4 linked regions of the Lepisosteus oculatus genome follow. The protein of the gene in region 4 purifies or fractionates together with the protein of the main gene of each other region. This does not show direct contact. Links are inferred from orthologs where the notes say so. Each region holds a gene or a part of one and is shown on either strand. Other genes may lie near its edges.

The links.
Region 1: the proteins of ilk (region 4) and raf1b purify together in Homo sapiens (affinity purification with mass spectrometry; 3 studies listed by BioGRID and IntAct, with this or other methods). This does not show direct contact. The link is inferred for Lepisosteus oculatus from reciprocal best matches to the Homo sapiens genes ILK and RAF1.
Region 2: the proteins of ilk (region 4) and sarcoplasmic/endoplasmic reticulum calcium ATPase 2 purify together in Homo sapiens (affinity purification with mass spectrometry; 3 studies listed by BioGRID and IntAct, with this or other methods). This does not show direct contact. The link is inferred for Lepisosteus oculatus from reciprocal best matches to the Homo sapiens genes ILK and ATP2A2.
Region 3: the proteins of ilk (region 4) and cct2 purify together in Homo sapiens (affinity purification with mass spectrometry; 3 studies listed by BioGRID and IntAct, with this or other methods). This does not show direct contact. The link is inferred for Lepisosteus oculatus from reciprocal best matches to the Homo sapiens genes ILK and CCT2.

The regions. Positions count from the first base shown.
Region 1 is NC_090699.1:62,314,011-62,321,558, forward strand, and holds the start of raf1b (RAF proto-oncogene serine/threonine-protein kinase), read right to left. Parts: upstream 3,022-7,548; 5' UTR 2,718-3,021; exon of another isoform or gene 2,544-2,717; 5' UTR 2,390-2,543; intron 1-2,389. UniProt on the Homo sapiens protein: Serine/threonine-protein kinase that acts as a regulatory link between the membrane-associated Ras GTPases and the MAPK/ERK cascade, and this critical regulatory link functions as a switch determining cell fate decisions including proliferation, differentiation, apoptosis, survival and oncogenic transformation.
Region 2 is NC_090717.1:10,109,559-10,116,479, reverse strand, and holds the start of sarcoplasmic/endoplasmic reticulum calcium ATPase 2, read right to left. Parts: upstream 3,005-6,921; 5' UTR 2,299-3,004; coding exon 2,181-2,298; intron 1,283-2,180; coding exon 1,265-1,282; intron 1,155-1,264; coding exon 1,072-1,154; intron 1-1,071.
Region 3 is NC_090702.1:23,374,663-23,382,045, forward strand, and holds the start of cct2 (T-complex protein 1 subunit beta), read right to left. Parts: upstream 3,005-7,383; 5' UTR 2,919-3,004; coding exon 2,916-2,918; intron 1,595-2,915; coding exon 1,520-1,594; intron 1,409-1,519; coding exon 1,343-1,408; intron 292-1,342; coding exon 180-291; intron 1-179. Other genes in the region: frs2a (fibroblast growth factor receptor substrate 2a), read right to left, coding at 7,123-7,383. UniProt on the Homo sapiens protein: Component of the chaperonin-containing T-complex (TRiC), a molecular chaperone complex that assists the folding of actin, tubulin and other proteins upon ATP hydrolysis.
Region 4 is NC_090700.1:23,031,256-23,039,169, forward strand, and holds the start of ilk (integrin-linked protein kinase), read right to left. Parts: upstream 3,012-7,914; 5' UTR 2,836-3,011; intron 1-2,835. UniProt on the Homo sapiens protein: Scaffold protein which mediates protein-protein interactions during a range of cellular events including focal adhesion assembly, cell adhesion and cell migration.

The sequences.
Region 1 (7,548 bases), on a different chromosome or scaffold from region 4:
ACTGTTTCCACGACTTGAACCAAAGAAAAAATGAAGCCAGTGAAAGTAAGAGAGAACCTAAAATAACAAAGAGATTATTAGGCCTACTGCTCAGCATTTCACAGTTGAATTTTTACACACCTTTTCAAATAAAATCATTAGAGAAAATGCATTAACTCTCCATCACCTCCAGATACTAAAACATGGGCTCACACAAATTCAGCTGTGTGCGAATGTCTTAAAACCAAGCATTTAAACTCTCTGAGGCTGGTGCATTTTCAATGATAACAAACAAATTGCCAATTGCAAGCACCTTTTATTAACTGATAGCTTTTGAAGAGCTTTTACAGGCCATAAAACATTTAAAACCACCAAACAGTAGGCCACAACTTTTTGACAACATATGTAACATTTACATATTCTTAGGTGAGATTAACATACTCTGAGAATTCAAACACAGTACTCACATTTGGGCTATATAACACCCCTTCAGATCACGATCATCTTATATGGATTGACTGTGGTTTCTTTTCACCTACACCTGACCTCTGAGGCAGAACAGACACACACAAGAGTACAACTTATTGGCGAAATTGTCCACTGAGGCTAACAATATTGAGATGAGTAGCACAGAAAGAGACAAAGCATGGAGCCACCTGTGCATCTGTAGTTATGGGTAGTGTTGATAACACTGCACAGCCTTTCACAACTAAAGAAGACAAAGCCCAGCCATGAACTTGAAGCTAAAGAACGGAGGCATCCAGCCACTGAAATAGAGTTCACACGGCACGATTTGTTGCAGTAGCAGAGTATTTTGCAAAGGGAAGGCAAAGCTATTTGCACTTTTACATTCCACTTGAAACAAGTCAATACAACAATATCTGTACAACAATACACAACAGACCAAACCTAAAAAAGCATTTCAAACGATCATAACATCGAAGATAAAACCTCAATACATTTATAACAACCCCCTACGTTTGAGAAACCAGATCAAATCACCAGCCAGCACAAAACCCACAATGTGACCAAATAGTTTCTGAACAGCAATAAGCCACTTCAGACAAATTCAATTTTCTGTGGTATTGTAGTCTAAAATTACAGAGACAACTATTCCAGATAAAGTATGAAAATAATATTATCTTCTCTTGCACTCTGCTAAGAACGTCTGGAAAAGCAGGGAAATTACATTTCAAAATTGTATTATTCTATTTTTATTTTGTTTTTACACATTGCGATCAACGTTTACTGTGAACAACCTCCTAAATCACTGATGTTCTCCGATTAAATACCAAATGTATCATCAACGTTTTGTACTTGCCTAAAAACTCAAAACAACATACTTATTCTTTGAAGTGGTCAGTTACCCAGACATCACCTTATTATTAAACATAATCGTAAATGATGTGTTTATGAATCTCTCGCATGAATCAAGCGACACTGTCTCTTTAAATTCTCCACTAATTACTAGATTTCACTGTATCTTCAACTTCACAAGGTTAACAGCATCATGACTGTGAATCCAAGCACAAATATAATATTCATTTGCACTCTACTTTAACAGAAAAAAAATATAAAGATCGTGTGTGGCACTCTAATGTAGAAATACGATTTGTTCTTAAAACAAGAAGTTAATAAAAAAGCACATTTCGAAAAAGGGAATTTATTCTAGTTTGTGTTTTCCGTAAACTTCATTAAAGTTACATTTGAAGTGAGACAAATAGTAAACACGGTATAACTTTCATTTGAATTTCTTGAAGTGATTGCTGTTGGCGTTGCACATAATGATGTTTCTTAAAATATGTTAGCCTATATAATGCACAACAACGAGAATAACCTGATTAAAACGTTTTTCCACAAACTCTCCAATTGCAAAGCAATGTGAATTTTTCAGTTTCCCACTGATAGCACATTACAAGCCTGACGGTCACGTTCAGGGCTTCGATAATTCATTTTCCGAACTACCAGGCAACACAAAAGTAAAATACTTTAACACAACAATGGGATAAAAACAAGCGTTTCTTTCAGAACTCCCTTCATTAAATTGGGAACTGAAGATTTTTTTTTCATTCTATTGAACACATTAAGATTCTGGAATACAATGTCTCCGCCAGTGTTTCACGACGCCTCAGCTTTTGTGGGCTTTGTTCTGCCGTAGGGTATTATAAAGATGAAAACGAAACAACGTAACTAATTTCGTTACCCCCCCACCGAACCAACGGCCCATCTCTGACCGATCCAAACTCGCAGCGCGTAACAAAACACCGACGTTTTGCATTAATACTGAAACCTATTCGGCTAACATTTCGCAGGCTAACAGGGCGAACTGTTTAGATCGCAGCTTTCACAAAGGCAAAGCACCAAGTCAAACGAAACAAGACGTTGTAATGCAGCCACTGGTAAAACTTACCCAAGTTTGAAAACTTCGGCTCCGCCATAACTAGAAGAAAAAGTGGAGACTCGGTGACATCATCATCATAGCTGCACATTCACAGCAGAAAAGAGCTAGTGTAGCCAACTGTTTTGATCAGTCCTCCAGATTAAACTGATCGTGTGGGAGGTCACTGGAAGAAAAAAAAAAGTGCCACGGTGTTTTTTTTTCCCCCCTTTTTTTTTCTTCGTCTTTTAGTTGAATTTTACGATTATAATGCGTTTCGCTCGGTTTTCTTCGTAGCCTCGCCTTTGATCCATTACACTGCTTTCTTTATAGATTTAAATAAATGCAACCACATACACACCTTCTGGGTGTCACATGGGAACGTGAGCTAAAAAAAGCCAAAACAATTTAACTGCTATGGGACTTTCTGATCACCAGATAATCACAATGGGCACTGCCCAAGTGCCTTTCCCAGATACATTTCAGGAGGCTGTGTGCATCGATCTGTATTTTTGAGTAGAGACGCCGCTATTTGCACATTCCGTGACGCTTTTGAGAAGGTTAAGGTTTTTGTGTTAGTCCAGTGCGCCTGCTTGACGCCAGTAACTGAAATTGGATCCCTGGGTCTTGACTAGCAAGAATTACAGCCATGTACCTCACGTTACAAGGTTTGGCACTGTACGCTTTGAGCGTCCTATTAATCTTACATTAGAGCTCAGTTTGCGGTACTAACCGCTGGGGTAAAATACAGCTAGCTGAAAAGGTTTTGCAGTACTGAAAATACTCACACAGAGCTGCAGCACATTCCCCAGAATAACTACAGTTACACATTGAGGGAGTTCTCTCACTGCTAACCTTTTGTTTGAAGAAGCAAAAACATCGCCGGGTATATTATTTGACTTCATTTTCATGTCTAATTATGGATTCTGATGTGCTGATCATACATCAGAGTACCCTGGGTTTTTTTTAGAAAGTTCTTTCCAAAAGTATTCAAAATTTCAAATTCAAATACCTGCACAAGTATTCTTCTACAATTCTTAATGAGTTATTGTTGCTATTTTTTATTTGCAATGAAAGCAAGAAAACGAATTTTTGTGTATGCCATCAGTCTTCACTTCTTTCAGTACTGTCTGTTGTGCATGAAACTATCATCTCTTCCATAAAACCAGTTATTATGGGATTTTTTGCAAGCAGTATGATTATATAAGTAGAATGGAAAATATTTTGATTTGGTATGGCACTTACTCTATTAAAACTAAAAAGCAGGTTTACATTTTTCTGTTAACTGCCATGAAATCACAGTTAAAAGTTTTCATGTACAAATCGATGAAACACTAAGCTACAGCAGGCTCGAAGTTTTGGGCACCTCCCCTATGCTGTAAATTTCCTCTGTTGAAGTTGCTCATTAAATCAAAAGAGATAGGAAAAGTATCCAAACAAAACTTTGTTTTTTATTTCAGGTTTTCTTTCTTACCAGCTCACATCACGTGAACATTTATCATTGATTTGCCCAGAAATAAACAATGGTTGTCTTTTTTCTACTAGCTTCTTGGCTTTACATTCAGTGAAACTCTGTGATGAGGTGATATAATTACAGCTTTGTTTTTAAAGCAACTGTCAATCCACGGATGTTTGAACAATGAAAACAGAATTTTGAAATGGCATTTTTCAAGTATTCATTTTCCCAACAGCGCCAGTGACATTATTAACAATGAGGTTTTGGGATATTTTTCAACTAGCTAATGTTACTGCTGTATGTGAGCGGATTCACTAGGAAATATTGAATAAAGAGTGGAGATACATTTGTACCTCCAAGAGCATTTGTGAGAGAATGTTTTGGAAAAAATAAAATCTCATGAAATTCTGAAAGGCCAACCATTCCAGTTCCTGTTGACTGCAGATACTGTATGTTTGATACGAGACTCACTCTTGACAAGGTGGAGATCAAACAGAGGTTTGGAAAACAACACTTGTGTAGTTTACCTGCTTTTACCCAGCACTTATTTACATGATATGGGCATGTCATCTTAGCTTCTTTGTCATTCCAGAGAACTAAAATTCAACCAAAAGTGTCTCTGTAAAAGTCCGTCTGTAATTCTGATGTGATATGCTGGACAAATAGCATATACTGGAAATTTTTAATTGGAAAAGTTCTTGTCAGCTTTCTGTCTTGGCCAAACAATTATTCTCTTGGTAATCTCAGCCTACGTAACAAAGTGCACATTTCAGCTTTGCCCAGTACAGATTCTGATATGTGGTAATAACTGATCTTAAAAATAAAAGAATGCAGCTAGGTAAAATCCAGTAATCTTATTAACGTAAGATGCACAGGTTATCTTAGCTTGTGTATGAACTAAGTGGAACTGGTTAACTGCACAAAAACTTCATCTTCAAAATTCTATACCTCTTTATAAGGTGTGTAAGATTGAGTAATCATAACTGAATCTTCCCCGAAGTGCTGTATGAACTGTACATTGTCCAGAGCGAATCACTGAAAAATCACTGAAATTTGACCTAAATGTTAATGCTGGCATGCTGCTCATATGTTATGTCTTTACAACTAACAGTTGAGCTACTTTCGTACAAATCCCCAAATCTGTAAATGCTTAAAAAGATCAACCTCGGCACAGCACACAAATAATTTCCTTACAACTCAACTCTGATCCATTTCTAAGGCTATTTTCAATATTTTTACATTCCGTCTAATTAAAAAGGCTACAAGCAAACCCTTTCTCTTACAGACGGTAATTGCCAATCATATTTCCTGACATGCTTTATGAAAGGGGGATTAACCCTACCCCGTCTTGCTTTGCTAGAAGACAGAAACTGGGTCATATAATGTCATCAGCAAACCACAATAAAGCTAAAGAGATGAAAACTGAAGTTTCTGCTACAAACAGGCCTGCAACCACAACACAGTAAAGTGAATAGAAGAAACCTCACAACTTGAAGCCTAAATGCCTTTGCGTCACAATTCATTCTCCAGTACTCCAATAGCAAAACTGGACTCAAAAGTGGGATAAAAAGTATTCCTCTGCTTTGTAGTTTGTGGGGACACTGAGCTGTATTTATTTTTCATCAAAAGAAAATCAGTAAGTTTCTCCGGCTTTGTTTTCACGTTACTTCTGACTTTAATGGGTTTGATAGAAATCATTTTTTGCAGTTGGGAAAATTCATGAGAGAATTTCAGACTTAATCTCCCCATGGCTGCCTTCCCATTCGTTAAAGGGTAAAATGCAGTAGCACGTTATCAGATATGCAATAGGCTGTTACTGTATGTGCGACGCATGCCTTAGAGGTTTCAAGGATGTTTGCTGACAGAAAAGGTTTGCTTTGGTTAACCTTTATGTTTAAATTCACTGACCAAACCCTTAACAAATGTATATTAAAAATTCTGTGTTCCCTCTAATCATCTATATTTAGTTTCTGCTGACGAGGGCACGTGCAGACGTTAGGAGGCTGTTTCCTCTCTTATTTCAGAGCTATGAACCGCACCTTAGGCTAACCCTCTGAATTTCCTTCTCGTGTTTTTTAGCCATTGCAAAGCTTTGCAAGTTTCACTACATTTCAGATTTTTCTGATCTGAACCAAAAGCACCCATCAAAAGCAACATTAAGCCATTTTGATCCAGGTAATCCAAGTAGGCTGTAACTTATTTCAGAACTGTCTAGCACATATGATTCTCTGTGAACTTGTACAATGTGAATGGATTATTTCTTGGTCATTTATTAAATGACACAGCTCTAAGCACCACAATGAGATGAATAGAAAGCAATTGCATGGCATCGATTTTGAATGGAGGTCATACATTTTGAATTTACGTGCTTTGTAAATGTCGTCTATTTTTAAGGCATGTAGTGCAATTACATGAAACAAACCTTCTTTTTTTGTAAAAAGCAATACATTATGGAGGGTTTTTAGTAAAACGAATTAACTCAGCCCTGCTCCCATCAGTTTTGTGTGACCTGTCAGCTATTGATCAATGGAGTAAAGAATCTAACATTTGCCTTTGGTCTAATATGAGGAAATAAAACAAGACCAGAATAGCTGTATTGAAAACTCAATATTTTAAAAGAGTAGAGGAATAAACCCATAGAAAGTAAAGAGTGCCACTCTCTGGCTGAAATAATAAAGTGCAAGTTCAAAATCTAAAAAGACTTCCCTGCAGATGGTAACTACATTTAGTGCTGATGCCTGCTGATAGGCCTAGAAATGCATTCTAGGTTCATCTCACCTGTACACCAAGACATTTCATGCCTTATATAACTAAGAACTAAAGGACACTTAAGGGTTTATAAAGCTATGGGGGTTGGGTAAGTGTTTTGAATATGGTGACCTACAGTATGTTCCTTACATCACTGTTTGTGGTTTAAAAATTACCTTTAAATGAACAAAAATGTATATGAAATATGTTAAGGTAAAGCAATATTGTAAGAATTATGAGTAAAAAGGCAAACTATAAATATTGTCCAAGTTACAAATGTGAGCTGTGAAAAAGACTATTGTACAAGTGTTAAATTTTTTAATTCTTGTATTTACACATCTTGCCTTTTTTCTCTGGTGTGTAATCTTACCTGTACTTAGTACATAAGATATTGTTGATTAGTTGACTCATTAAGGTATGTGCAGTAAAACAAATTAAGATTACACGTAACAAAAGGTTTTAAATTAAAGCTAAAAAATGTGTCACTTACTTTATTCCTTTCCAAACTCTCTGTTATTTCACTGGAGATTATATCCAGAGGAATATGAATATAGAATATAAGTTAACATTTATTATATTATTCTTCAGTCTTCGGTCTTTATTCTTAATATTCTTAACAATTTAATCAAAGGTAGAATTTTGCCAACACGAGCTATGATTTAGCATCATAGTTAAATGTTATTAGGGAGTTTGGAAAAGACTATTTTTAAGCAGACTAAATAGCATAATCTAATCTAATTAATATATCATGATATTAGATTCAAATTCTACACTTTCATACTGTATCTCTGACTCCACATGGGATGTACTGCAGGTCTATATTTTGAATGATAATTCATATATAAAAGAGTGCCCACTCTTTCTCTCTCTTAATCTAATTATTCTTAGTCTCCAAATGGTTTTGTAGTCATTTGTTGTGCAGTATATTAAAACAGTATATCCATTGTGAAATACAGTATTTTATCATTAAAAACAGAAGTGACCTTTC
Region 2 (6,921 bases), on a different chromosome or scaffold from region 4:
TAACAGCCACAGACGTGGGCGGTTTAAAAAACTAGGTTAGGATCTTAATACCTTGACTGGAAACTGGTCTAACACATTAATGGCACCAGGTTCTCTAGAGTGACATTACGTTTACAGTGTTACAGTAGGCATACCACTGGAAAAAGGTTTTAAAGTTCACTCAGGGACAACGTAACTTGCGAAGATTTAGGCTTAAAAGTTTTAAGGCCTATATTTGGGCATTTCTGACTGCATAAGGAACGGCTGATGTTTAAGCAATAAATCTATACTGCCACAGAAGTTTCCAAATAAGAATAAATCTCAACAAAGGACAAAATCCCTCATCGCCACAGTAAGTATCCTTCCAGACTCATGCAAAAGGCTGTGATAAATAAATTACTAGTAGATTAGGGCAGTGTAGCAGAGTGGGTGTGTTTCTTCTTTACTGACACGCTGCGGGTTCGAGTCACTGCTGGTGCAACTTGAGTGAGGTATCTGACCCCAGTTGCTCCAGTCCTCCCAGCTGTAGAAGTAGGGACCAGCATTGCTGGGGGGGGGGATTCCTGCAAAGGACTGGCCTCCTATCCTGGACTACTCCTCAAAACTACACAACTCATACCTGAGCCCATCCTGAACTTGACCTTTTGACCTTAGGCAAACGACGAGAACCAGGTACTGAGGTTAAACTGAATACCCAAATATCTGTCAGGAAGAAGCATGCGCAGTTAATAAGTGATAGCTAGACAAGGACTACACTCTCCTCGACTCATTCTAGAGTTCCTACACAAGGAGGAAAAGGTGCAAAGAGCATCAAAGTAAAACTGCACTCAGATACATGCAAATTATGCACGCCAGCATTTGCTTCAACATAAAAAGTAAGATGTCCACCAGTTCTGGGCCCAATTCATTTACAGTGAAACATTTAGAGCTGCCTGCTCAGGTCAAACACCTGCAAGGCAGCCAAAGTAAGTTTCAACAGCATGCCGGGAGGTTGCATCGGGAAAATACCCAGGACAGTTTGGTGATCTGTGCCTCATTTTTTTTAATTGTAAGGGACTGATACTGGGTGAAGGCTTCGAGGCGCATACTTACAAAGGATATACAAGCTGCCAGTAGAAGAATTCTGACTAATAAATCTTCGAACTGCTCGACAACGAGTTCCCATAAAGATTTTCCTGCGGACAGAATAAACAGACAAATTCAGAGTGGAATAAAACGGAATGAGCCCCTCCAAAAAAAAAAATGGGGGGTTTTAAAATATTAATAAAACGGCGGTGCTGCTTACCTTCCTCGGCTGGCAGTTCTGGGGTTGCGTGTTTCCAAGGAACAAACCAGAAAGCGACCGGGGGAGGAGGGGGGGGGGAGAGGAAGAGGAGAGAGTTACACAGGCAACAAAAGATCAAAATCTCCGTTTACACAGCAACGCTAATAAGATGTGCGCTTTGTTGACATTTGAAACACGACCCAGGGCGGCCGTGCATGAGGACCCCCCGCTCCCCGCAGCGTCTTCGGGCGCAGTGGCAGGCGTGTGCCGAGCCGTGCTCCGCGTCGCTACGAGGAAGTGGGTGTCCACGCCGAGGACACGGGGAATCGGCGGTGTTGCAATGCACAGGGCTGGTTCAGCCGAGTCATGCGCAGGGGCGAAGTGAGTACGGGCGGCCCGCAAGCCAGCCCGGCGCCGCCGGTGAGATGAAGCCGAGAGGCGGCCGGAGCTGTTCGCATCCAACCCCCACCTCACCTGCGCTTTCGCTAGGTCACCGGGCTTGAGACGAGACAGGGAGAAACGTGAGCTGGGAAGCCGAGTCCGAGGCCCTGAGCCGGCTTTTCCCCCAACCCCCCAGCCCGCTGGAACCGGGGAACAGCCGCAGAACAGCCCCCTCCCCTCCGAAATCTTCCGATTCTCACCCACCGGGTCGGTTATCGCACGCATTCAAGGTTAACGGCGAGCTTCCCTCTTTCCCCCGCGATAAGGCGAACGGATTGAAAAACCCACGAGGTTGTACATGATGACGTCAGCCATTTTCACTATCCATTTTTGAGCATGCCGGTTACTGTACTATAACCTGGCTGCATAAGACGGGCCTTGCGTTGCGTAAAAATAAACCACTAACCCCCCCCCCCACACACACACACACAAAAAAAAAAACCAACACATATTTGTATACATAAAAGACTTCTGGAAATGAAACGGCATCACTTACCGTTCGGTCCCCATTTTTCTTTATTCTTTTTCACCTGATCCAAACTCAGCCCTGTGCTCTCATTGACGTTAAAATAGCTATAGACCTCCTCCACAGTCTTTGTGTGCGCGTTCTCCATGGTGGAAATGCTCCCCTTGTGAAGACACTTTTTTTCTTTCTCTCTCTCTCTCTCACTTTGTGGACTCGGCCACCTTTCAGTCCGTGTCAATTTCGCCGCACGTCCCTTTCGCGAAGGAAGGAGAAGAAAAAAAAAACAAAACAAAAAGGCGTAAAATACTCTAAAACTAGGCGTTTACATACAGAAAACGTCCGGTGGGGTGAGAAAAAAAAATAATAATATCTAGAATTTATGTAGAAATCCCGGCACTTATGGAGAACGAAGAAAAACGATGCGTGTGTGTGTGACTCCCCCCTCCGCCAGCTTCTCGTCCAAAATGTTTTTTTTGATGCGCGTGTTTTGCCGACTTAAGTCACGCTTAAAATTTAAAAAAGAGAAAAAAAAAACAACCGATCCCCTCCCCAGGCCACTTTGCTTAAGGTGTCTCCTTTATTCCCAGAGGAGCCGGCTGCAACAGTCGCCCTCCGTGCCACACGCTGCAATGGCCAGTGCACTCCTCAGGCTGCCGTGGGTGCGCGTCTGCCCGTGTCACAGCCGCTCTCTCGTCAGTGGCTCAGCCCGTCCAGCGCCACTCGCGTTTTATTGAAAGTGCCTCACTCGCTGCTGCCCCTCTCGCCTGCTCCGCATGTGGAGTGCGCTCATTGGATGGAGGGAGTCCGGAAATCTGGTGGGGCTGTGTGTGTGTGCGCTCTTCTCGTCGCTCTCCGGCCCGTCTTTTTTCTTTTCTGAAACTCGCTGCGATCAGCTGATCTCCACGCTGCGCCCGGCTCACGCCGCCCCTCGGATCCGGGAGCGGTGACGCAGACGCGTTTGCGTTAACCTTTTCGGCGCAGGGGAAGGGGGGGGGGGACCCTTTGGCGATTTGTCTGGTTTTGTGAAGTCGTGCACTCTCCCACCCCCTCCTCCTCCACACACACGCTGCCTTCCCCTGGGGCACAATAAGATGTCTCCACTCGCAGATCTACAGGCAACGCCACAATGTGCATGTATTTGAACTGGGGGGGGGGGTCGATTCCAGTTTTAATTCCAAGGTGCTGCCGCTGACCCCAAAAAAATATGTTTTGGGAAACGACGGAGCTCGAGTTCAGATGCTTTGGCAGGGGAGTTTAATTTGTTTGCCATTTTTCTCTGAATAGCCTCCGTTTTTGGCCTTGGAGGTGATTAAAGACTTTCGCTCCTATCATCCTTCAAACCTAGAATGGTGTGTGTGTGTGTGGTGGGGGGGGGGGGTCATTTGCTGGGATTAGCGAACGCAAATGTCATGCTGTCATGCTATTACAGCCAGCTAGAGTTATGCGCCGGGTGTCAGCCTTCTCTTTGCTTATGTTACAGCTCAGGCTGCGAGGTTTTACCGAGAAGCTGTTTTCCAGATACCCAAGTAGTTATAAACCCGGGGTCAAAAGTACGCGACAGCGCTGTGATTCGCGAAATGTAATTAGGAGGTATTTACACTTCTTGCCTCGTTTTTCTGGAAATGGTCATATGCGGTCGGTCCTGACGTGTATTGCCCCTTTGCTGGCGTGCAGGAACAATGTAATGCAATGTGCTGGAACAGCGCGCTAAAGTAAACGCTTTTATCGTATTACATCAGTGTCAGCTCATGTCGCTGCAGTCCCCAGACCCATTCAAATACACCCTATTCACGTGGGTGACTTTCACACCTGCACGCTGGAGTTCAGTTGGACAGGGATCAGTGCCACCCTGTTGGATCGGGGAAATGGGAGAGAAATAGTGTACCCGATGCTAAAGAGAGCTCATTCACCTGCTAGACCCCCACTCCCACTGACACAAAACCACCAGGTTTATACCAGCTTCCTGTTCTACAGCAACTAAATTAATCCCATGACCAGCAGTTATTTTTTCCTGTGATGTTGGAGTGCAATTGTAATATAAAAGAGCTCTTCTTAGTTTCAGGAGTGTTGAACAGGCAATAGAGCAGATGATCACTCCTTGCCACAGATGGATGGACAGGGAGTTACCCCACCAGCTGGTCCCCACTTCTACAATTGGAAGGACTGGAGTAACTGGGGGTAGAGTTCTTCATTAAGCTACAACAGCAGTGTCTGCAGCGGGGACTCGAACCCACAGCCTCTCACTCAAGACTTGAAAGGCTCCCCCACCATGGAAACCTGGGGTATGACAGAGAGTCTTCCTGCACTTTTTCCCCCTGGAGCTCTGCCTGAGAGGCTCAACTCTTTACAGTTTCAATAAGTTTATTGTGTTTCCAACTAGACATACTTTACTTGATCACTGAAAGAAGCAAGATTTAGTAGTCAAAGTATATTTTCGCACACGATTTGAACAACTTCTGCACACTGCGGTATCAAACTCTGCTGGTTACCAGCTACCACATCTTCACTGGCTACACTAGAGCCACCACGTGTTTTAAAGTGTGATAAACCAGCTGTTTCAAGATCTCCATTCTAAGTGCTTGAAAATGTCTCTTGCACTCATGAAAGTACACTTAAACCCTGTCCCCCCTCTCCAAAATGCACAGACACCTCTGCAGGTCCCGTCCTAACTGACCCATCTGAGACACAATAAAGAATGCTGTATAGGGAAAAGGTCGTTACTAATTGTTTTTTTTTACAATTTTTGCATCCCAAGAACGTGCAGCTAAATAGCAGATGAATGCAGAGAACGGTATCGGCAAACCTTCCAGTGAGCAGAAAAATGTAAAAAGGCAGGCTTTAGAAAATGGAAGCAGCTCAGCACAGCTCTATTTTTATTGAATGTTCCACTTAGCTCACGCTCATCACCTGGACTTGTTTCCTGCTCGGTTCACTAGTTACTTTCACAGACTCATGAACTGGGTGGAGGAGAGTGTAGACTGTCTGGATTGAAATCGTGTGAAAAGCTTTCTCCTTTTTTTCTCTCCATAAAAAGCTCTATGGATCCGCGGCTGATCTATAAAACATTATTGTGCTGTTCTGTCCCTTTACCTCCAATGAAACGAGGACCTCCTGGGATTATTGAGCCCCTGAAGGCTGCAATGTACAAGGCTGACGTTAGATCATGCAGGAGAGACCCGAGGGTCTCTCTCCTAATGAAGTCATTTGTCTGGAAACCCCAGCTGCCCACAGGAGCACCCAGTTCTTTCTTTTCACCTCATGGTTAGTGATGACAGTACGGCTGACAGACAAGGCCCAAGCAGGTGCTTTAGGAAAGCAAGGTTTTTTTTTTAAGTGCCTGCACACAGAATCATGGCAGCATGTAGTCACAACTGCTCTTTACTGCATGAAGATTTACTCTGGGTCACTCCAATTAAAACCCCACTAAGCTGATATTAGCAATGAAGGCTAATTTTATTTAATACCACAGACTGTGTTCCAAATGATTGTAATTAGAGAACAACTGCATTTCACACTGCATCGTTGTAATAAAAATGTTAATTATCTCGCATGTTACCATAAATAGTGTTGTACATGTTTGTGTTTCCATTCAGTGATATGCAGTACAGTACCCCTGTCTTGGTGAACATGAAATGGACATAACAAAATAATGATAGTAATTACAGAACTAGTGATAGATGACGAATTAATGCTGCAATTGTTCATGAAACACTGAGATCAGCAGTTTGTAGAGTGCATTGCTTGTCACAGAGCAGCATCAATCTGAAGTCCTTTTATGTGTTTAATGAGTCACTTGCAAAATTGGTGAAACAAGACATTCCTAAAGCATTCCATAATTAGAAAACACCTCTAACCTGGTTGTCTTCTCTGCGTCTGTGGGGCCATGTGACAGCTGAACAACTGTTTATGAAATGAATCCGCTGTCCGAAAACAAGGCCAAAAGTGTAATACGCTCTTGTCCCATTTTGTAACATTTCTTTTCATCTCAGAACTGTAAGAATTTCTCATTTACTACTTATGCTATTCCCAGTAAAATAATGGATCTTAAGTTAGAACACAGGAGCACATGGGGAAAGAAGGAGCACAATTCTAGGAAAGAAGGAGAGGACTTATATACTGCGGGGAAAAATCACAATTAAAATTCAAATAAGGTCATTAACCATGCAAGATAGCAAGATGTGCCACAAACCACTAGTTTGGCAAATTATGGAGGAAATAATGTCACCCCGGGCTCTGTTACCTCTCACTGCGTTAGAGGCGATCAAATCCATGAATGATGACATTAATAAATAATCCCTCAGATGAGGAGATGAGGGTGACAGAGTTCACGCAGCCGCCAGGTGATGGTTTAATCCCACTGGAGCAGGAATAAAGCTTTGCAGGGGTATATACCAGAGACAGCAGAAGGAAAGTAGAGATGATGTAATTACCGGTAACCTCTTGCACTACAGGATTAAAAGGTAAGTGACGGTGATATGTAACAGAAAGCAGCAGCTACCTTAATGATAAGCTTTGCTCAAGACACTTTTTTTTTCTTTCTTCTGAAGTCAAGAAAGTGGTCAAAAATGGTTATTTAAAAAAAATGTTTATTGAGAAGTATTAATTTCCTCCAGGTGTGAAGCTTTAATAACTCACATCTGACCGTAATATGAAAAAAATGTTACCTTCAGAGAAATCGTTTAATGTCAGTGTGTCAAAGGGTTTGGCAGATAAGTGGGCCTTTTACCTGACCAAAAGGTTTTCAAGTAAGCTACAATCCAAAAGTGATTAA
Region 3 (7,383 bases), on a different chromosome or scaffold from region 4:
TTCGGTAAACTGGCTAAGCCTTCATCATGTAAGTCAATGAAAGCTGGCGCGGTGCACTGCAGTACATGGGCGAGACACCCAGCTGCAGCCTGTCAGTAGGAACATACATGTAATAAAACAGTCACGCCTACAGCTGGGCACCCCTATTTCCTCACACTGAACACAAACCGCACACTTACCAACCAGCACTTTCGCGGCAGGGTTGTCAACCCCAATAGCTTTCAGAATGGTGGCCCCGTCATTCGTAACTGTCACAGAGCCATCCCTTCCACTGCTGAGGAGAATCTTGTCCTGTATAGAAGACCACAGGCTCCATTAGAACAAGAAACGTCAGGACCCATCTGTCCACCACACCTGCTGGTTTTCATTTCACCCCACATTAATCAGATATCTGAAGCCTTAAGTGATCTAAGAATTTGCTTCATTGTAACATTTGCATTTTGTTTCTAGTCACAAGTTTGGGATTTTATTTCTCTTACTAGATACAGCTGTTCAAGCCCCAACACTTTTAAGATCAGGGAACAAAGAGATAAAATTAAGCTTATTGAGTCAATGAGAGGTTTGAACAAAATCCAGCTAGTGTGTGGCTCACCAGGACGAATCACTGGAATCACTGCTGTAAAGCATGGGGAGTGTGGATCATGCCCGAGTCGGGTCTAAAAAATGTGAGAAATAATTATGCTGCAATTATACGACTGCAAACAAATGTCCAAAATCAGCGCAAGTGTATCAGGACAGGGACACTGTGCTGTAGGAAGACATGATAATCTACTGTATAAGAATTTAAACTAAGAATAAGAATTGGATTCTTACGTTGAAAGTTGGATAAGAATCCCAACTATTTGGTCAATAAAAATCCCATGGCACCGCAAGGGTGTGTAAACTCTGGCCTCCTGGCTATACTCCACTCTGGGTTAACACAATCTGGCCTAACTCAAGTTTGCTCTTAAGTCAACTGGTCAACCAGCTCTTAACGTCTCCCACTGGTCTACAGCAAGGTGGGGCTACAGGTCCATCAGCCAGTATACAAAATACCTTCCAATCTTAACTTTTAATCCTGTAAATATCACAATTTGTACTTCAATGGGTGGCCTTTTGCATATTTTGCTTTGCAACCTGATTAAATACCAGGATGTTCTAATATCGCTGCAGTGACAGTGACACATTGCACTGCTTTGACATTTCATTCTGAAAGCTTCAATCGCTGAGCAGCATTAAATGTCAAGTATGATATTGTACTGTTGAATCATCCAGTAGTGAGCATGTTGATAGAGGGATATTGAACACAGACGTCTTTTCCATTTAATACACAGTCTGTGGAATCATTGATAACGACACATACCATTCCCTTCGGTCCCAAAGTGCTTTTCACCAGATCTCCAATGGCTATGGCACCAACAAAGGAAGACTAGAAAGGGAAAGAAAACACAGAAAAAAGTAACATCCTGAACTGGGATTCTGCACAATGAAAACAGCTGTGTGCGTTCTTCAGGTACCTGCTGTAAGGAGCAGCACTTACCAGTCGGGCTGTTTCTGCTTTCTCCTCATCTGCACCAGATCTAAAGATGTTCACGGGAGCCAGTGAGAGGGATGCCTGCAGAGAAACCAGGTTCCGACATTACTCAAGTTTTAAAGGTCTATTTAAACCTGTTATTATGTATTTACGAAACCAAAAATAATACAACTATACCAAAACATCATTTTCTAATAGTGGGCTGTAATTATTTACTGGCCGTCTTTTAAAGTACTAAAATACCAATCTGATTCACTGGTTCATTTACCACTGAGGTAGTACGTAGCGCACAGAAAGTGAAAAGCTACCTTTAGATGTACTCTGTGATGAGTGTATTCGACAAAATCACAGCCTCTAACATGCGTAGCTGTCTAATAACCGCGACCACTACCGAACACTCCTGGAAGCGCGTCTCTGCTAAAAACAATCGCCTCAAAACGACAAGCAAAGCCAAAACACGGGATTGTAGAGCAAAAGAGAATCACGGCGAAAACAAGGCAAACTAAAACTCGGGAAATAAATCGGCCTCGGAGAGTCAATGTTTATAAAAATCGCCAACGAGACAGAAAACAGCGAATACGCAGTATTTTAAAATGTCCCGTGAAGGAATGATCTCCCGAAGAAGTAGAACCTATTTTTCTGAGGCAAGTGCAACGTAAAAACAATGCAGTCGTTACAGAAAAAAGTAATCAAAGCGTATTTATTGAACTCCCGTTAATTCTGACTAAAGAGCATATTTCTCGCATTTTTCCCCCATTTTCAGCAGCTTCCTAGACCTTACATGGTACGATCGGCGCTCGCTAAGGTCCGCATCGCGCTGTGCGACAGTAGTCCCTCCCCTCCTAGAAACAACTAGAATCACGGCAGGGCCTCCGCTTTCTCACTTCGATGACAGTTATGCCAGATTGAATTCTCGGTCTTAATAACTCTGCCAACAGGCCGAGGTCTACAATGAAGCTGCGATTCAACGACTTACATTTTGATGTTCTTATAAAGGAATTCAGTGCGGCAAGGCCTACAATGAGCCGTGGCCCATCCATGATCTTGCAAAAACCGGTAGCTGCTTTTCGTTCATTGTAACCCTTCACGGCTGTAATTAGTGCACGCTTTTTTTCTTCTTATAAGGTTCACATGACGAACTACACCGTTAACCCAACTCTCCTTTGTGTGTACTTTGAGACAAGTTTTTTTTTTAAATCATCTCGGGATCTTTAACCAAAACCGAGAACAGCCTACAGGAGCCCATGTGCTTCCTTCCACGCCGAGCCGAGACCTTAAGTCCGGAATCTTACGCTGGAAAATCGACTCCAGAGCTACAGTGAAAAACTGGACTCTTATGACTGTAAATGAGTAGTTTTCAATCTGAAGATTTGATTATTAATTCATAAATGAAGACGCTTACCATCTTTCCGCCGGTACAAAGCACACAGCCACACAATCAACTGTCTCCTTGCGGCGGCAATGGCGTTTGTTATGACGTCACCGCGTAAGGCCTCGCCTCTCCTGACGCTGCGCGTATAAGCTTTAAGTGTCGATTCCTACCAGCTCAAAAAAGCTCTCCCGTTCGCTTAGATCACAAATTATATTCTATATCACGAGCATTACAACTGAAACAAATATGCAACGTCACCAGGAAAGAAAACGAGAATATATATATATTTTTAATGAGCCATTTTATATATTGAACAGGTATTTAATAGGCGAATTCATGATCGACATCGGTAATCAGCTTGGTTGTGTAACAAAAAGTGTACTGTAAAAGTCACAGGCTAGTGGCGTGTCTGGCCATACAATTGCTCGCTGAACAAGTGCGTGCCCGTTCGCAAGTCTTAATATTTCAAAATGTATTTTTATTTTATTCAAAACAGACAGACAGGTTTCTTATGATGTTCAGTGTGAATGCTTGTTAAAATGGAAGAACTTACTGTTGTGATAAAAAGAGGAAATTTGATATAGTGGGAATTTCTGATTATGCACTCATCACAATCACACGGAGCTTTTCTCAGCATTTCTTATGCCATTTACCTTTTCTGCATTTGCCCATAAGTATATTGAAGCTTTGTGAATGGTATCAACCCTGAACCAACGTCTGACATCCAGAACTGCTCTCATTCAGCCACTGCAGTTCGAAATGTGACCGACTGGGCCTCCGCAGAAGGAAACAAAACTTGGGACTGTGGGAGTGTCTCATACAGCATCATTCTGTTTATCAGATCATCAATTAGTAAGAACCTTTTAGTCAGAAATATGGAAAAAAAAAACAATCTAGCGAGAGGCTGTGTAAAGCTCTGTGTGCCGAGGTTGTTAGAAACAGGACAGCTGAAGTCGAGTATCTGTGACGTTCAGGACAGGCCACAGAAACAAGTATGTTTCACAAGTATGAAACAAGCAAGCAGATTGATGTAATCATCAGTTAGCACTGGAGATGTAGAGCTCACCTGGAATGGAAACCAGCAGACAGGACTCCCGCAGGACCAGTGATGGGGACTATTGTATTATTGTGCACTACTACTGATATTAGTATCAGTCTTGTCACAGAGGTCATGGAGCAATGCAAAGTAACCAGCACTTAGTATGGCAAATGAATAGCAGTTATCCCTGGGCAGGAATTAGGCTGGTGGAATACGTTGGCGATATCCTCTTTGCTAAATGTTTGTTTCTGCATCTCACTGTGGAAGCATTAAGGTCCCCAATATTCTAGATTGAATCTTCTGACGCTTTTGGTAACTAAATGGGAACTACCACCTCGAAACCTGATCATACAGACAGATGAGAGGATGAGCTCATGTTTGATGACAATTCCAAAGACGTCAATAAAAAGCGGGTCTGGTAAATAAAGGTGTTTAGCTCACTGTACAGTTTGTATTGGATATTAAATGATTCACTTGTGCTACCCAAGAAATTTTAACAGAGGATATTAGCTATTATTAGCATAATAACTTTGGTACATGATATATCACACCTTTAGCATTTAAACCTGTTAAAAAGGGCTGGTGTTTAAAAGCACTGTTATGTTATCAAACCACACATTCAGACACTAAAACTATTTTCAGCATTATCTTAACTTCTAATACAGGTGTATTTAAATTTATCACATTCATTAAGGTTCATTAAATCATATTACTGCAGCCTATGCTGAAACAGAGGCACAGGAATGTGTACATGCCCATGAAATATTTGTGCATCAAAATATGTAGATTACAGGAGAGAGGATTCTTTGAATTTACGATTTGCATCACTTCAAAAACTGGGTCAATTTTTGTGTTTTACAGGATTTTGTACCCTCTTGGTAAGAGGACCTAACACACTTAAAGACACACTTTTCCAACAAAAACATCACGTCACAAAAAAAACATTGTAGATTGTTTTTATTGCCATGCTACAAAAAATAATGTTGGCACAGATGGCATTTGACAAGATGTAGATATCACAAAATACACTTTTTTTCCTCATAACATTTGTTTTAAAAAATTGGACCATTCTGGTGAACCAATATCCATACCTGAAAAATGCAAACATCAAAATACATTTAAATTAAATGTTTGTACTTGACAGTGGTATAGCTCTGTGTGTGTTGGTTCATTTGGTGCATAGTTATTCTCCTGAATAACACAGGGAAGAGATAACAAAACAATTGAAGAGTAAAATTTTCACCTATAATGAACCCCAAAGGCATTTGTTCAAGGAACATCGTTTCCAAAAAATGGTTTGGCAAGGGTTTTTGTTTTAAACTACAATTTAATTGATTTAATAAACAAAATCTATTAAACTACTTTTATACACACTTCCTACATTTAGGCATTTTTATGGTAGGTAGAAAAACTATCATTTTTAATAATGCATGTTAGAACATATAATAAATCTTACAATATAATACAAGGTAACTGATGAAACATTTGTCTTGAGACTTAAAATACTATGAAAATGTCTGACAGTTTCATATATGGTAAACTTTTTTTTTTGCTGCCATTATCATTCCCATAAGGACACTTGATCTTACTGGTGGGTACCTAAAAGTCAGCCAGCAGACCTGCCAAAAAATTATTCATGATTTCTAGTTATGGATAAGATACAACGAATGTTTCAATTTAAACAGCTGCAATGATTTTATCAAAGCGTTTTTTCCAGCTTGCATGCAGAAGGCAGAATAAACATGCCTGCTTGTCCAGAGGTACAGAGAGAGTATTATTAGGTGGAACTCAAACACAATTGCTCTTACAATGAGAAAGCAGCCTACAATCTTTTTAGCACACATTCAGAAGGTAAATGTACCGTTTCCTTTCAAAGAATGTGAAATTCGGCAGATACGCAGTGGAGATGCACTGTCAGTAAACAAAATGGGTTCTTCAGGTACTGAAACTGAACAGGTAAAAAACCAACAGCATGTAATGTGTTATTCAAGAAAAGTGAATAGAAAAGTAAAATTGAAGACATTGCTGACTTTTACCAAGACACCAGTGGCGCGCCGTGACAAAACCAACCCGGTTCATATGGCCCATGCCTTCCCAGCTCGTTTAACCGTAACACATTCAGTGCAATAAGTATACACACCTACAAAATTAGATATATAACATTAATATAGAGACAGATGGAGAAAAACTTCAGTGGCGAGTCAAATAGAAATAAAAATGTTTTGAACAATGTAACATTTGATCCCGTGAAAGATCCAGCAGTACAATAATTTAATTCCACTTTAGCCGCAAGAAGTCTATCACCACCTTCTTCCAGCGTCAGCACAAGTATTCTTGCTGTATAGTATCTCTTTAATGACAATCTCAAGACAACTAATTTGCCATGTTTTATGAGCAAAAAAAAAGGGGAGAATTTATACAAGATGCTTCTTCTAACACGTCCTGTTCATAGTCTAAAACCTACGGATTAATAAATGGAATAATCCACACAAGGAGCACCTTTTAGAGTGGTTCAAACAGGAACTTACTGCAGACCGTACCACAGAAGCATCTCGGGTCTAACCAGGGACAGAATCCACCTTAACATGAGAGACTACAGCAACAATAAACCTGTTCTCCTTCTGGCTAAATTACATGGTAGTCAAATGGAAGTCACATGACAGAATAACCTGCGGAAAATCACTCCTGGCCAACATACAGATGAACATGACTGGCTAACCTTCACAGAAACTGCTGTCGTTCTTTTTAACTGCTGGCTATTGTTTTACAAGTGAGAGTGAACTGATGTTCAATTTTAGATCACGAGGGGCCACTTGGAGAGCAATCTGATGTCCTCAATGGCAAGACACCGCTGGAAATGGGACAAAGATGATCATTAAATCTCATTTTGGAGATTTTTTTCTTATTCCACCAAATCACAGAGTCACCGAAAAAGGAATGTTTAGAACAACCAACCCCCACCCCCAGAAAATATCAGATCATCATAGAATAAGATAGTGTTACATGGCAAGTACCTGGTCTACTTTAATTCCCTTTAAAGTCAGCACAACGTACAGTGTAAATCCATGACTAGCTTAAAGTCTCCAAAAGCTACTGTATTTGGAAAAGAAAGTAAAATATATCTGAAGCCCTTCTGTCCTTAAGAGTTTTGTTTTTATCTGGAAAAAAAGGTGCAACTTCACACAGTGCTATCTAGGCTCACATAGGCAGGTCAGTACTGTTGTGTCGTGTTTTCCTTGAAGTACCATCATCGCGTGGCAGTGCCTTCTGCAAACTAGACATGGCAGCAGTCCGCTCGATGTCTATCACTGCATACAGTTCTGTTCTGCGAGTCGGAGTCTGTGGGAGAGGGGTAGTGGGGGTTTTGGGGGTCTGAGGGTTATCTGAATCACTGCCTCTCTCCATCTCCACCTCAATGTAGTTGAGCTGTCTGTGCTCCAGACTGGGCCGCCTAAAGTC
Region 4 (7,914 bases):
GCGTACCATCTTTTTATTTAAAAGTAAATAACACCGTATAATGTTTAAATATAAAGTGTTATTTTTTAACAATAAAGAAGACAAGGAATTATTAAATAGTTATTAATAAACACCTCCACCTTGAATACTTTCAATGGTTGCAAACATAAGGGCGAATGTTTGTCAGAGCTTAATGGCCATGTGTAAGTAATATATAAAGTGCATCGTGACTTACACCTGTGTGAGCATTAAACCCCAAACAACACTTGCATCAATGAAGTGCACAGTACTGTGGAAAAGAAATATCCTTAATTTCCTGCATCTGACCCTTGAAAACTGGTACTGTGGGCTAAGATGAATTTGCAAGTTTTCAAAGTCAAGACCTCTGACAGGAAATATTACAGATAGCTTGTAAGGGAAGGGTATGGTTAAAAAAAACTCTAAAACTTGCTACAGCCACATATCACCATAAAATGAAGAGGAAACTGTTGTTGCAATGGTAATCCTGCTCAGTAAGAGAGGGACCGCAGGTTCAGACATTTGGCTCATCTGCTTGGCTGAGGAGCCAATGGTGCGAAGCAACCATTTGTGGGATTATGACTGAATGCCTCTTAAATCAGAATCCTGCCTAAACGCTACTTACATGGTGAGATTCCCAGCCTGTGCCTTTGTTTTCAAACTGCTTGATTTAAGAGAGTAAAAAGATAAGAAACAAATGTACATCTACATATGCTCTACCCCTTGCGTTGTCTTGATTTTATCACCTTGATTCTATGAAGTTGTGTTGTTTTAAAGACTGAAAGGTACATCTTTTTTTGTCATTTATCTGCAAGAAGGGGGATCACATTTTTCTCTTTATGGCTGTTAAATCATTTTTGCTTTGTTTTTTTTTAATGTATCAATCTCTTCTTTGACAAGGATACTATAAATTATTTCAACATATTGAAACTTTGTAACGTTTGTAATGTAATTGAATTCTTCCCATGTTCTGTGCATTTGTCAATACCTCTCCATTTTATGTTTATTCTAGAATAAGAGACCTTAATGACCAAGAGACAGGTGATTTTTGGGGTTCATTTGGCAAAAGTTTTAGTGATGAAGACTGCTCAACAATGGCTATGCTGGCATGGAAGTCTGAAGGAAAGGCTTCATCAACAAGTGGCAACGGTGGATGAAAGCACATACTCCTGGACCGTGATGTCCTTGCATTGGTTCGAGATGCAAAACAGACAAGTATGTCTGAGTTTCGTCAAGTACAGTCTGTTGAGAACTTCGAAGAGGAATACTAAGGCTGGGTTGTGTTGCGTAACCCCTTTAGGGCCTAAAATGCACTTCTGCAACTAAAGCATTGCAAAGAACAAAAGACGGTGATCCACTGAGCAGGGAAAAAAATCATATGGTCAGATGAGTCAGCCCTCACCCTGTTCTCAACTGTTCACGGTAGCCCAATGCCCTGGTGTTGCCTTTATTTTGACAGTTATCTGTATATATTTCTAAGTCAAAACACTACTGACTAAATTGCAGGTCAACAGATTTACTGTTGCTTCTACACATGACAAGATTTAGTGTGAAAAGATTCCATAAAGAAAACCTTAATAAATTGTGTAGTTAGCAAACCTGAGCATCAAATAAGCCATTTACACATAAAGAGCATAACTTCTCTATACCTGCTGCATGTACTCAAAAGGCAGGAAAGTTAATTCAAAATCTGTACTCTCACTTCTTCAGTGGATTTAAGCTTCTCCACCTTGGTGGAGGCTGAGTACTTTTAACAAAATGCTTTGGGTTGATGGCAGCGATATAAGATTTTAGATTTTCAAAAGGAAAATGCTGCAGCAGCTGTTAAACCTGGGTAACCACGGTGCACTCGATTCTTTAATAAATTTCTTACGATACAGTACAGCCCTGAAGTGCAGTGATGAATAATAAGTGCGTTTACCTCTAAATCCTAACAGATATATCATGCCGAGGTAACCTGGTCCAACAGGGAGGGGTCAATGCCGTTCACCTGAATCACACCTTAAGAGCTTTTAGCTAACGTTTACGACGCACATACTGTGGATTCAGATTACTTAACAGTTTAAGAACTAAGAGTTGCAGATGCCATTAAATAGCAGAATACAAATTTAAAAGCTAATTGAGGACAATTAAATTCAAATGTCGCCCTGGTAATTGGGAAAACCTTAAAGGAAAAACTCTCCTGAAACTTAACTGTGCTCCGTCGTCAAACATGGAGCACAAAACCTCTCACTTCATCACCCAGGCAGGGTAAACAGGCTGACCCCTCTCTCGAAAAACAACTGGGAACGGAACCAGCTTTACTCCACTTTCACATAACTGTGACGGAGACCAGGAAATTAGAATTTCAGACTAGGACCTAATTATCATAAAAAGTAAAACATCCTCATTCGCTCGTCTTTATTTCACACAGCAAATTAACCACCAATGAACACCACTTCTATAAACTATAGATCCTGTAGGAAGTATACATCAACTTCATCGCAAGTTATCTGCGGTGACTTCTGTCCACGACAGCAAATATCCATGCGGCTTTCAATTCAAACAAAATTGTGCGCATTTAAACAAACTTTCAATATTTAAAACCTCAGCAGAATCATTTTGACCTGAAATGTCAACAGTAATAATGCTTTGACGGTTTATAATGAAACACCGTTAAAAAAAACGAAAATGAACATCCCACACCTTGGAAAAAATAACTAGGCTAAGCTAAGTTTTTTTTGCTCCCGTATACCCTTTCTGAACCGGACGCAAACAAGTTACAGCTCTAACATTTATAAAAACACAGAGAAAATGTCCCACCTTAAACACAAAACAAAGAGTCATGTATTTTTTTACCTGCACGTTTGAATAAAGGGGTTTTTCGCTCAGATTATGTGGACGATTACACTCAACCCAACTACGTCCCCCGAGGTCCACACCCTCGTTTTGCTGTAAAATCTCTTCCTTTCATGGGGGGGAGGAATGCGCTCTGCATTCTCCGTCACAGCGCCACCCACTGACATATCTCTTTCCGTACAGCACCGAAACGCTCTCCTAAACTACTTTCATTCCCTCGTGGAAATATTATTTCCCAGTGACGACTACCACAACTAGGCGCCTCAAGTGATATGAACTTGTGTTACCGGAAACCCTGAAAGACATGGGCGTACTGTAACACTACAGTGTGAAAAATTACTTCCTTCTAGCGATACATTTTAAAATATGTGGGCTTGTAAAGCGCCGCTCGACCATGCGCAATTGAACGATGTCCAGTACACAACCTAAATTAAGACAAAACACTAATTTAATTGTGTACAAAGTTTGCCCTATCAGCTGAAAATAATTTTGCATCAAGATAAAATGTTTCTTAAGAATAAAAACGTTATTCCGAGAATTTCAGAGTTAAAGACAGTTACATTAAAAACTACCATTCTAAACAATGCTAAAATGATTTAATGTTTTAATGAAGACATAATTAAAGAACTGACCTTTTAGCAGCTAACGAATAAACAATATTATAGCCTAATTATTTATCTAACGTTTAATGTATTGTTCAGAGCTAAATAGTAACAACATCCTGCTGGTGGTGGGGATGAACGCTGTTATTCGCAGAATAAACTTCTGATTTTTCAGGGAAAAAATGGCCTGACTGCAAAGACGTTAAGAAATGAGAAGTCAATTATGTATGCTTTCATTTTAATATGTCATACATAATATTTATTTTTTATTTTAAGTAGTTTGCTTTATACATCAATGAATCTCCAGTGAGCCTCAAACACTCAGGAGTGTTGTAATGTATGCAAAGTTTATAAAACGTTTAAAACGTAGTTAACCATAGCTGTTAACAGATAGATTCTTAATATTACTGACAGAAAGATCATGTAAATTAGAACAGCTGTTATTGTTTCTTCAAAATAATAGTGACTATTGAAATAATTAATTGTCATGGACAGGTGACCCCTAAAAAAACAATACTTATTCTTTTGTGCCCAAACTACATACAAAGGGTGCTAAATAGGCCCCACATTAACTTTCCAGAATAGTACAAAGAAACCCCACCTAATCCAGTTATCAACATATATCTCCAATGAGAGGTCCAGTAGTAGTTTTCTCTGAAACTAGCTTCGGTCATCTACTTTCTTCCATAACACCATGGAAAGAGATGAAACTCAGTGTTGTCTCTAAGTGGGTCTTAGGCAACTTTTCCAGTCCTGCCCTTCATGAACAATGTAGTTCCTTCATGGCCCCCCCTGCTACCAAGTCCAATGTCAGGTAGGGGGAATGAAGATGATGCCAAAGCCTTCCTCAGCAAATTCCTGTAGAATCCATGGTGTCTTTGTCCTCTCCAGGGTCCAACGGCCAAACAAAATTCTTCTGTCAAAGATTTATTTTCTGTCCTGTCTAGGGCTTTTTATCTCTTAGAAACAAAGGGCTCCTTACTCTTCCCCCTGGGGTTTTGATCATTTGCTTTAATTCTAAATTTCTGTCCAATGCATGAAAGTGCTGCCCAATAATGTTCATCTCTGTTTATAGACTTTCCTTCATGGCATATTGTTGATTTAATAGTAAATCGCAATTTACCAACACCTTCCAATTCCAATTGCAGTTCTCAGTGGAATGTGTTCTGGGAATCTGAATTACAATAGTCTGTGGACAAGAGCTCAATCGTTACTTCCAGACCACTGTTTAATGGTAAGTGGCTTGTTGTAATCATTTGTATGACCATCAATTTTGCATTTATCATTTAGACTAAAAATTTTTGATTGTCTTGATAGGGTTTTATGTATGTGCTTTTTAAAGAGTTTCTAACCTTTCCACACATTCATTTCTGATTTTACATCAGAAATTTGTGGTATTGCTGAAATCTGCCTATTAGTATGTCTGTCCATATGGGGATTGATGACAATTTTTTTTTCCAAAAAAAATGTTATGAACCAAAATAGGCATTGGACCCTTTGTTCTCCTGTGTGTTTATATCTGCCATTGCCTTAATGTAATTTTTTTTTAAACAGTGAAGACATTGAATCATTCAAATTCTATATGCATCCAAAATCAACATTTGAGTCCACAGCACCTGTTGTGATACTCGACTTTTGAGATTGGAAATAGACTCTGTGACAAGTGTGTTAATGCATATACTACCCATGAAAATGCAGGTGTCATAAATATGAGAGGACAGGTCTTCTAATCCCGTGGAATTAAGTATGACACTGAAGATATACATGCCAACATTGTGTCTTTGACACTTTCCACTATACTGCTTTTTACAGAGTTCATGAGTTCACTAGCTTGCATCATAACATGACTTTAACTGGCCCAAACTAAAGTACACCTTAATTCATGGCCCTGTGCAGTCCCATTGACAGCTTTCCCACACCTTTTGAGATAGCTTTCCATAGTGTCCCCATTGAAAATATTTAGTCATGCTCTGAGCAACACTATGGAGCTTCTAATATATCTTCTAATACAGTTGTTAAACCTGCATGAAGTAAACATTATGACACAATATTGGCTTGTCTAATTGATTTTTGCTGCAAAGACATGCTCCCATGTACAGTATACTTCCTGAAGGACCTTCCCTTGAGATGCTGCACTAAGGCAGCAAAGGCAGTTCCTGGGAAAGGGAAAAGTGTGATTTTGGGCTTTTTTTGATAAAATTATCTCTGTAAAGTTTGCTGGGTTATTATAGCTGGTTTTGGAAAATTACCACTGTGCTCTCAACCTAGTGTCGGGTCCCCAGTACCGTCTGGGTGCTTTATCTTGTGTGTTTTAATTTCAGGGGTGTTCTCATAACAGCTACCATCTAGATTAATACCATCGACATCACTTCTGCAGGCATCCATACTGTGCATACTGTGCTGCACGGTCGCAGTCTGGGAATGGGAGGTGCTCTATAAACCCCAGCAGGTTTAGCAAAGACACTTATCAGACAAAACCATGGTGATGTACTATTAGCTGAGGGTCTGTAGAAAAGATCTGAGGTATTTTTGGAGAGGCACAAATTTTGGTTTGGTCGGGAGGGGGGTGAGACAGCTCCCTGTCCATTGCTGCACAATCCCAGTCTGGGAACAGCAAGTGGTCTTATAAACCCCAGCAGGTTTAGCAAAGACACTTATCTTTGAATAATAACCTTTCGTAACCTTTGAATAATAACTTCAAATAATAATTTGAATAAATAATTATTTGAATACTAATACTAATACTAATACTAATACTAATACTACTACTAATAATAATAATAATAGTAAGGAACAAGTAATAGGTTTATTCCATGCTGAAGAAAAAGAAGAAAGGAAACACAATGTTTCGGCAATATAATCTTCTTCAGGTGTGAGAGAGACAAGGCAGTAAGCAAAGGTAAAGTAGCGGGAGAACAAAGGCTGGGAGGGAGTAGGAGTGAGAGGCGGGAGCAGGGGACAGAAAGAGAGGCCAATCAAGAGGTGTGAAGTCAGAATAGGTGTAGAGAGGTGTGAAATGAAACTTCCAATAATAATAATAATAATAATAATTGCTTACACTTATATAGCGCTTTTCTGGACACTCCACTCAAAGCGCTTTACAGGTAATGGGGACTCCCCTCCACCACCACCAATGTGCAGCATCCACCTGGATGATGCGACGGCAGCCATAGTGCGCCAGAACGCTCACCACACATCAGCTATCAGTGGGGAGGAGAGCAGAGTAATGTAGCCAATTCATAGAGACACCTATGAATGGAGAACATTTTAAAAAAGAGTAGTCTGTCGTTAAGAGAAGGGGGAAGGTGTGATCCTAGCTGCAGGATAAGTTTGGTTTCGGTAGTCTTACTGATGAATGAGTTCAGAAAACCGTCTTTGATAACACAGACGGAGAGATTAGATTGGTCGTGGCCGTCAGAGGTAATAACCATAATAAAACCATGGTGATGTACTATTAGCTGAGGGTCTGTAGAATAGATTTGACGTATTTTTTGGAGAGGCACATATTTTGTTTTTGTTCAGGTGGGTAGCTGCGTCAGCATGCGTAGGCTGCAAAGGAACAAGTAATAGGTTTATTCCATGCTGAAAAAAAGAAGAAAGAGAACACAACGTTTCGGCCGTGGAGCCTTCTTCAGGTGTGACACCTGACCAATCTAATCTCTCCGTCTGTGTTATCAAAGACGGTTTTCTGAACTCATTCATCAGTAAGACTACCGAAACCAAACTTATCCTGCAGCTAGGATCACACCTTCCCCCTTCTCTTAACGACAGACTACTCTTTTTTAAAATTTTGACACCTGAAGAAGGCTCCACGGCCGAAACGTTGTGTTCTCTTTCTTCTTTTTTTCAGCATGGAATAAACCTATTACTTGATATTTTGTTTTTGGTTAGGAGGGGAGTTAGACCACTCCCTGCACCCTCACTGCATGGTCCCAGTCTGGGAATGGGAGGTGCTCTATAAACTCCAGCAGTTTTGACAGGGACACTTATCTGACAAAAACAAGGTGATTTTCTATTAGCTGAGGGTCTGTGCAATAGATACCATCCACCTTTGGAGAGGCACACATTTTTCCCATCCAATTCTGCACTGCAGTTTTTCTAGAGGTGGTCCACCCAGACCAACAATAATAATGAAGACTTAAAACTGAATGAAGAAGGGTGATATGCTATTGGACGACTGTCTTAACATGGTATGTTTCACATTTGATGGTGCAAAACATGTTTTTGTCCCTGGTTATAGTTTAAAAAACTGATTGAATTTAAATATAATAAAGGATTTGATTTAATTAAAATTTCAGATACAGCTCCTTTAAAAGCTTACATCTTAAAGCCTTTTTCATTGAACAGAACAAAAAAATAGCAATGACAATTCTTACAGTAGTATAAATGTAAGAAAGGTGCTGTAAAATTATTAAAAACTTCTAATAATCTTAGATTTGTCAAACTTAGTATTGGCGATTTAAAATTAAAAAAGGAC